Linked DNA regions of Cricetulus griseus. The protein of the gene in region 2 purifies or fractionates together with the protein of the main gene of each other region. This does not show direct contact. Links are inferred from orthologs where the notes say so. Each region holds a gene or a part of one and is shown on either strand. Other genes may lie near its edges.

Region 1 (4,347 bases), on a different chromosome or scaffold from region 2:
ACAGCAAAATGAATTATAGAAGTTAGGCACTAGTACAACTTGAAGCTGAATCAATCCTGGTTTGTGTAATTCTTGGGGTTAGGGGATGGCAAGGGGTGGCTGACACGATGCCATCCTGCCCACATAATGTGGCTACCAAGAGCAAACGGGGAATGGAACAATTGATTTTGGAAATCTAACCTCACTGACAAGAAAATAAAAGGCATTAAGTTTGGATTTCTGTAAGCAAATGGCAGCAACACATTTTCCTGGGTTATGTTCGTTTCCTAGCTGTATCGGATGATTCCAAAGCTTCAACATACCATTTCCTCATCCTCGGCCAGAACAAGGTCATAGTCACTGAGGGCCACACAAAAGATAATTGCTGTCACTCCCTCAAAACAGTGAATCCATTTTTTTCGTTCTGATCTTTGGCCACCTACATCAAACATTCTGAGTAAAGAAAGAAAACACAGATTCAGCAAAGTCACACTCATATTTCTCTCTAGTATGTCATGGCTAAGAACCTCCCCATTATCACACATTCAAACCCCATTTATAACAGGAAAGACAAGGATCAAATCAAACATGTCTAAATAATTGTCAGTGGCTAAAAGTAGAGCCCACAGCTGAGCCTCCCTCCCTCTCAAAACATGTACTGGATGTGCCAAATGTCAGCGGAGTTAAGAACTAAAAATGGATTCAAGGAAGGAAGGAAAAGAAAGGATAAATGAAGAGCTGAACAGTACAGCTTAAGATAACTGCAGCCATAACAACTAGTATTTGTTGGATGTTTACCATGGTGCCAGGCACTACCCTAGACCATCTGGCACTCTAACTCCAGTTTCTATAGACTTTCCTCAGCCCCACTATGCTGCCTCTCAAACTGGCTTGTTTCTGCACACCCATCTTGCATTCTGACTCCCAAGTTTATTTGCCTTGTGTTAATGAAAAACATATAAGGAAAATTATGGAAGAAATTAAATTTTATACTAGGATTCTAACAATTTGATCAATAATTTTTCTTAAAATCTGTGCCAAGTTTGGGGGCAATGACTATAATCTCAGCATTTTGGAGGCTGAGGAAGAATGGCAAGTTCAAGGCCAGCCTGTCTACACAGCAAGACTATCACAAAAATAAACTTAACCAGTATTCCCCAACACCTTACCTTGCTTGAACCTAATCAGCAACAGCAAAGCCTCAATTGTTCACACACTGTGTTCTATTCCAGATTTGTTTTAGACTTCTAAGTGCTAAGTTTGTGTCAACAGTGTCCATTTTTACCTCCTACAATGACGGGAACAGTTGCCCTACATCTTTTAGTCAATACCTGAGTCTGATGGAATCAGCATTCAAATGCTTGCACACTCAAGATCTGTATCTGATAGCAATGGTAAAGTTTTTAAAGGCTAGTGTCTGCTGCACTGGTGAAATCTTCAGTAACTCAGAGCCTAAATTTCCAGGGATTTTCACCACTACAGATTAAGAGAAGTAAGATTCACATGATTTCTCTAATTATGTTTGACATGAACATTCATCCTATCTCTTCCTGACCCAACTCTTCCTTGGAGGATCTTGCAGTTCTTTGCAACCTTTGGTCTTACATGACAGCTAAATGATTTAATCACAAATTGGCCTTAATCCAGAGTCGTATTGAAGGTTTTAGAAAGGCTAATGTTTCACTATAAAAAACTTTCAAAGAGGGGCATATTAGTACACCAATAATTCCACTTTACATCCCATATTCTGTAAGTCCATAAAACTAGCAGAATACTGTAAATTCCCAATGCTAGCTTTTAGTACATAATAACACAGTATTATTCACTAACAGATCAACATTTTATAAACATTACCTCATAACTGAGAGGCAAGTAAGCAATTATACAATGCCTTGCATATGGTAGATGCTCAATAAATGTTTGAATAAATGGATAGTGGTTTTGCCTAGAGAGAAGAGGAAAAGGAGAGGTGATAGTACTTCATAATCAGATATCTACATGCCAATAATAAAGTGGACGTGGCACTTTAATCGGACTTGGCTACTGATCCTTGCATAGAAAGAAAGCTACCTTGCTAAAGATCAATCTATGACATCAACCAGAAATGTTTCCCACACTGAATATTGGTCTTGGTATTTAAAATTGGAACTGAATTATTAATTTTATAATACACAAAGAAGCATCTCGTTCCTATGACTTCACAGGTAATCCATATAGTTCCTGCTGATTTTGTTAATTAAATCACCAGTACTTACGATAAGCAGCCAGTTTACCCTAAAACCATTCACCAGGTTCCAAATCCATTTTAGTGTGCTAAGATTCCAATACCTTACTGGGCATTGGTGGCACACACCTTTAATGCCAGCACTCAAAAGGCAGAGGCAGGCAGATCTCCTAAGTTTAAGACCAACCTGGTCTACAGAGTGAGTAAGTTACAGTACAGCCAAGGCTACATAGAGAAACCCTGTCTCAGGCAAGCAAACAAACAAACAAACAAACAAAAAGATTTCAATACTTTGTTGGATGGTAGTGGTGCACACCTTTAATCTTTAATCCCAGCACTTGGGAGGCAGAAGCTGGTGGGTCTATGAGTTCAAAGCCAGCATGGACTACAGAGTGAGATACAGGACAGCCAAGGCTACACAGAGAAACCCTGTCTTAACTCGCCTGCCCCAAGATTCCAATACCTCAACTGGTACTAGTGTTTAAGTCCTGTGTGGACTTCTTCATTTGAGGATCAGAGGTAGTAGTAGTTTCCTTTGTATGAAATAATGCTGACTTTCACATGTCACACATAATCATAAGCAAGCAACTTCTTGAAAACTTATCATGCCTTGAAGGAGAAAAGGTTATTTCCAACCTCAAAGGTCACAAACAGAAAAAGGAACTAAAAACAGTTTTAGTATTTTTAAAAGACCATTAACAAAAAGAGAAGTGGAGGCCTTTTCTAAGAATTACTGGTGCTATGAGAAACTCTTTTAAAACACCAGAATGTCCTCTAAAACAATTGCTGTTTCTGTCATCATACCAATGCAAAATACCTCTATCCCCAGGCCTAATCTGCACTGCACTACAAACTTAATTGAGCACAATGCTATCAATACAAAAGCCAAGCCAAGTTTAGCTCCACCCCATTAAACTTAATGGGAAAGGGAACCAGCGAGAGGAGTGGTGCTGCTAAGAAAATATTTCTACTTTGGTATCACAATGTCAGAGTAAAGCCATCTATGAAAGATATTTTCTACCTATTTAGTACTGTTGCAATCCTAACAACAGTCAATACCTATTTGACAACTAAGAAAAGTCTCGAAAATAAATGTGAACTAACACAAATTGGCAATTATATGATTAATGCTAATGATAGGTAAATTGCTATTTAATTTTATATTCAATTTCCTCTAAATGGATTTAAATACTGATGCTACCTGGAGGAAAAAAAAAAAACTGTGTAGGCTTCAATCAGATGTGACATTAAGTTAATGGCCAATAAATATATTAAATTTCTAAACCAAGGAACACTGCTTACAAAAAAGGCTTGTTAACTTACTTGAAGTATAGCTCCTTGAAGGTGAAGTGTGTCTCCACAATGCCTGTAGTTTTCACTCTTGTCCGAAGAACATCTTGTTGAGTTGGAATGTAGTTGGTCTGGGATATTCTATCCAAATCATTTAGGTAACTAGATGAAATATACATTGGTTTTTACTTGGCAAAGCCAACCATGAACACAACAAGTCAACAGACTAAACTCTCTGCTTGAGACTAGCTGGCTACTAGCATGTGTAAGACCCAAGATTCAATCCCAAGTACTAACAAACCACAAAAAAAGTAGACCCTCAAATTCACCTCAGAGGCAGAAAAATATTAAATCTTCAGTATTACAAGGGGGGGGGGGCAAGTAAATCTAGCATAGGGAAATTAATAGCATCTATACATAGTAACAAAAATGGTTTTAAATATACTGTGAAGGCAAATTTTAAAAACAAGGCAATTTTATTCCTGCTAAAGAAAACTTCCTGAAATCTAACATAAAATGAGTTATGTACTTAATACAGAAAAAAACAAAAACAAAAACAAAAAAAAACCAAACCTACAGGTGGCACAGACCTGTAACCCTGAACCCCAGAGTTCCAGTAAAGCCTGGGCTACATAGTAAGACCTTATGAAAACAAAACACAAAAAAATTAAAACAAAAGCTCTCATATATCTAAATTTATGTCAGCCACATACATAACTATTTGACAGCTCATTAAAAAATGACATTTGAATTATGAAAATTAGAAGAACTAGACCCAGTGAGAGCACAGGTGGACATGTTAGTACACGCCTGTAAACCCAGCACTGGGAAGAGGAAGGTGGCCACAAGTTTGG
Region 2 (4,411 bases):
CAAGCCCCAGCATGACTGTGAGAGCCAATCCTCTAACTCGAGTTTCCTTCCTAGGAAACGTAAGACAGCCTTTCAGCTCCGTAAAGAACTGGGGTGGTTTTCCCATCTCTGCCGTGAAATTCAGTCCCCGATGTCTGTCTTTCCCTTGAATCCTTTCCTTGCTCTCTTGTTTACTGCTCTGTCAGATTCTCATTGAATTCCAAGGGGGCTTGGAACTTAAGAATAAGATGGTAGCTTCCAAAGATTCAGTGGGGCTATAGAACAGTGCCACCTATGTTTCCCTAATTTGTTCCTTGTAATCATGGGCACCCAGACCCTAGCACCAGGACGACTTTGTAGAAGTCCGAGTTCTATAGAGCCCAACTCTATATGCATGAAAGCCTACTACTATTTTGTTAAGTTTCAGCCGTCGTTATATCCTGAATTATGAACAAGCAGGATGCTGTTGTATTGTTTTATGAAAAGTTTTATTAAGTATAATGTACATATAGAAAAATGCACCAATTCAGAGCCTGCAATGCTGCCCCTAGCAAAACAAAACAATCAAGTCCAAATGTCTGTCTAGCTTTACTTTCTCCACGTTTTTTCAAAGTATTTTCATAGACATCTGTTAGCTTGATACTTGCAACAGTTACAACAGAGCATAGTGTGGGGCTGAAGTTTAGGCATTCTGTCAAAAGTGGAAATTTGGAATGTATGCAGTGAGATCATAACTGCAGGAATCTCTCCACCGTGTTACACCCACTGGACTGGGGATGTATCATTTCTCGAAAGAAAAGAAAAAAAAAAAACTTGGACAGGAAAAGAGCAGATAATCAGTCAACCTTTAGCATCTGATTGGTTGCTTGGAGGCGGTGCAGGTTGTGATTGATCAGCCCCTCAGGTAATTAAATATTGGGGATTTCTTCCTCCAGACACCAAAGGCCATCCTAGTCTCTTGAGAAAAGGAAGAGGTTAAAAATAATTCTGCAATTATACCGAATTTCCAAAGGAAAGAACTATTTGAACGTTTGTGGGCTTTAGCATTCTTAACTCTTTTTTTTATCTTTCCTGTTTAGAAAAGATTTATATATTTTTATTTTCTCTGTATGGGTGTTTGTCTCCATGTGCGTATGTGTAGCACATACATGCCTTGTGTCCACGCAGGTGAGGAGAGTGTGTAGGATCCCCTGGAATTGGAGGTGCAGATGAACGAGAGCTGACACGTGGGTTCTGGGAACCTAATCTGGGTCTTCTGCAAGAGCAGCCAGTGCTGTTAACTGCCAAGACATCTTCCAGCCTATTTATCATCTTCCCATTTTTAAAACCAACCAAAAAAATTGAACAAATACACAAATTGAGCAGTCATTAAAACATTTATTTTGAGACAGGGTCTCATATGTAATTTTAGTTTGCCTGGAACTCACTGTATAGACCAGGCTGGCCTCAAACTCATAGAGACCCACTTGTCTCTTCCTTCTTGTACTGGGATTAAAGGTGTGCACAGTGACACCTAGCATCAATAAAACTTTTAATAAGCATCTAGTAACATAATTGAACCAGCTATCTTTAGCTCTGATCCAAATCACTATTTTTTTTTCTAAGCCTCAAATGGTTTGAACTCGACAGTGGTGTATTTTAGCAAATAGCCCAATTATAAAAATATGATGCTTTGTGGACTAAAGGTCACCTGGATCTTCCTTATAGCTTTGGGAATGCAGTATATAGACTCTCCGCTCAAGAAGTTGCTTAGCCAATGAAGCCCAGAGCGGTAGGGCAGTTGTGAGTACTTTTCTGAAGCCACTAGGAACGTGAACACTCTTTACAGGAAAGGTCTTGTACCATTCAGACTTCCCGAATGTAAGTTACAGACATGAGTGAAGCAGCGTGGATGGGCTCCAGGCAGAAGCTCGAAGAATCAACCCCTCCCACCCCAGAACCTCTGAGCTTCATGTGCCCCTCTCTGTAAAGTGGGTAAGTCTGACACCCCACCCTTGTGCTGACCAAAGAATTCTCTGTGTGGGGGTGCTGAGAGCCACATGCAGCCTGCAGAAAGTGACCCCCTACTTACAGGAGGGTGTGTGCTCCCCCGGCTATCCCTTTATTGCAGTGCTGAAAAATCAGACCTAGGACTTTCCCAGTGCTGGGCAAATGCTACCACTGAGCTATTGAATTCTGAAGACAGAATTCTACTTTAAGCCAATCGCTTGTGAAAGGAAGTCATCCCATTTCCTAAGCCAAATGGAAGTCATAGTATTAGATGACTTCAAACTAACTCCTATACTTTGCACAGCCTGAAGCATTTTGGAAGCTAGGGCAAAGGGGGAGGAGAGATATTCTACCTGAATTTGCATCTTCACAAGCTACCCACTTTAGGACAAAAATACTACTTTTGGCAAGTATTTAAATGAATGGCTTCCTCTCTACCATTCTTCCAAAGTTTACTTCCAAACAAGGGACAGAAAACCAAGTCACCCGACACCATTTAAAGATGAAAAGTAGTAGCTCATGAAGAACCTACAGACCTGCTCTTACCCAGGAAAACTGGTTCAACTCATTGCTTGGGGGAACCCCAAATGTAACTCAAATACTGAATTAAGCTTCATCCTACATTATATGTGAATGCATTCCTCGCTACAATGTCCATTTTTAATTTCAGACTTGTTGGCTTGAGGAGTGAAAGTCATTTTGCCCCTCTTCCAGCATTCTTAGGGCCACCCCCTCCGCCCTGCAGTGTGATGCTATTAGCTGAAAAAACCACACCTGACAAGAAAACAGAAACAGCTGCTCTGTCATTTTGGCAGCTCATGTATCTCCTCATATTTTAGCAAAGTTGGGAAAACTGATTTATATGCAAATCCAAACAACTGATGAGTTCCTTGATCTAATTTGAAAAGGTGTCTTGAGGAATTTACTCAACTGGTACCCTATCTAACGAACCCGAGAATCGGAAAGCTAGCGTGAAGGGAATACTCCTGAAGGGAACAGAAATCATTTAAGGGCTTTCCATCTCGAAGGACTGAAGACTTACGGAAGATCTCTGACAAGACATCTTAGAGGAAAGGGGTAAAGAGAAGGTAACCCACATTCTCTAAGAGGAAAGAATAACCCAAAGTTCCATGTCTCAGAGCCCAACTTCCTGAACTTTTCTCGGGGTCCCACAAGGGGGCTAGCGTTGGAAGAGGTGCTGGGAGTCCCTACCTGCGTTCCTGAGCTTCTTGTTGCGGTACACAGACAGGATGACCAGCAGGTTGCCCAGGATGTCCACCACGATGGTGAAGATGAGGATGAAGGCCAGCGTAGAGGCCAGCCACGACGGCCGCTGCTGCCCACCCTCCCCGCTGCCTGGTGCCTGCTGTGAGGCATTGAGTAGACCGCTGCCATTGCCCTTCATGGTCCCCTGGGTGTCTCACCGCAGCGCAGCCAAAGCCATCGTCCTGTCGCTCCGCGCCCCCGAGTGCCTGGCTCTGCTCCCGCCCTCTCCGCCACTTTTTATGGCTTGGCACAGCCCTCCCGCGCCTACTTTGCATCCTTAAGGCTGCTTCGCGGCGGTCCTGCCCCCTCCAGTCCCTCCCCGTGGCCGGACACCCTCTCTGCATTTGGCCGCTGACGCCTGCTGACACCTGCTGTCCACTGCCGGGCATCTTGGACTCCAAAGTCCCGCAGCACGTGCACATTGCGCCCTCGTGCGGGTAGACTCGGCAAGACGGGTGGAGCCGGCAAGCAGAGAGGAAATGAAGCTTTTCTCCTGGGATCTGGACCCACCCGGCATGCCACAAGGCATGGACTTGAACCCTAACCGGGACAGGAGTAGGTAACTGAGACACCAGATTCCCTAGATTCCTTATCGGCAGAGTGAGGATGAAATAGACTCTTAACTCATCAACTTTACAGTTACTGATGTGTAAAACTAAAATAAAAATGATTAAAAAAAAAAAAAAAGGACACCTTTTCGCTTTGACAACAAACCATACAGTATTTTGTGCTGGGTTTTTCGGGTAATTAAACGAAAAAAAATGTAAATATCAGTGAAAACAGGAACACGAGAAGAGAAAGCTGATGTAGAACCACAATGCAAGATTGCTGGGGAATGGATTAGTCAGCTCTGTACAGAAAGAAACAAAACCCCAAGACGTCCTGCGACACAGGAAAGGAGGCTTGCACAAACTAGGAGACATATGATGCCCTCATATTGAACACTTAAAATTCCCATGTTCTTACTATGTTTTATAGGAGCCCAATTCCCAAACATCTCTAGAGTCCTTTGAAGGAAAAAAAATGGAAGAAAGGAAATTTGAATAAGATGAATACCAGAAAAATGTGACCTTGCAATATTTAAAATAGACATTAAAAACTAAACAATGAGGCATAGTGGTTTTTGTTACAGCGCTGGAGGCTGAGGCTGGAGGATGGAGTTGCACAATCAGCCAGA

The links. The genes of interacting proteins can lie anywhere in the genome.
Region 1: the proteins of Mtnr1a (region 2) and Gnai3 purify together in Homo sapiens (tandem affinity purification; 3 studies listed by BioGRID and IntAct, with this or other methods). This does not show direct contact. The link is inferred for Cricetulus griseus from reciprocal best matches to the Homo sapiens genes MTNR1A and GNAI3.

Annotation. Positions count from the first base shown.
Region 1 is NW_023276806.1:49,019,535-49,023,881, reverse strand, and holds part of Gnai3 (guanine nucleotide-binding protein G(i) subunit alpha), read right to left. Parts: intron 3,656-4,347; coding exon 3,527-3,655; intron 433-3,526; coding exon 303-432; intron 1-302. UniProt on the Homo sapiens protein: Heterotrimeric guanine nucleotide-binding proteins (G proteins) function as transducers downstream of G protein-coupled receptors (GPCRs) in numerous signaling cascades.
Region 2 is NW_023276807.1:41,375,871-41,380,281, forward strand, and holds the start of Mtnr1a (melatonin receptor type 1A), read right to left. Parts: upstream 3,438-4,411; 5' UTR 3,374-3,437; coding exon 3,181-3,373; intron 1-3,180.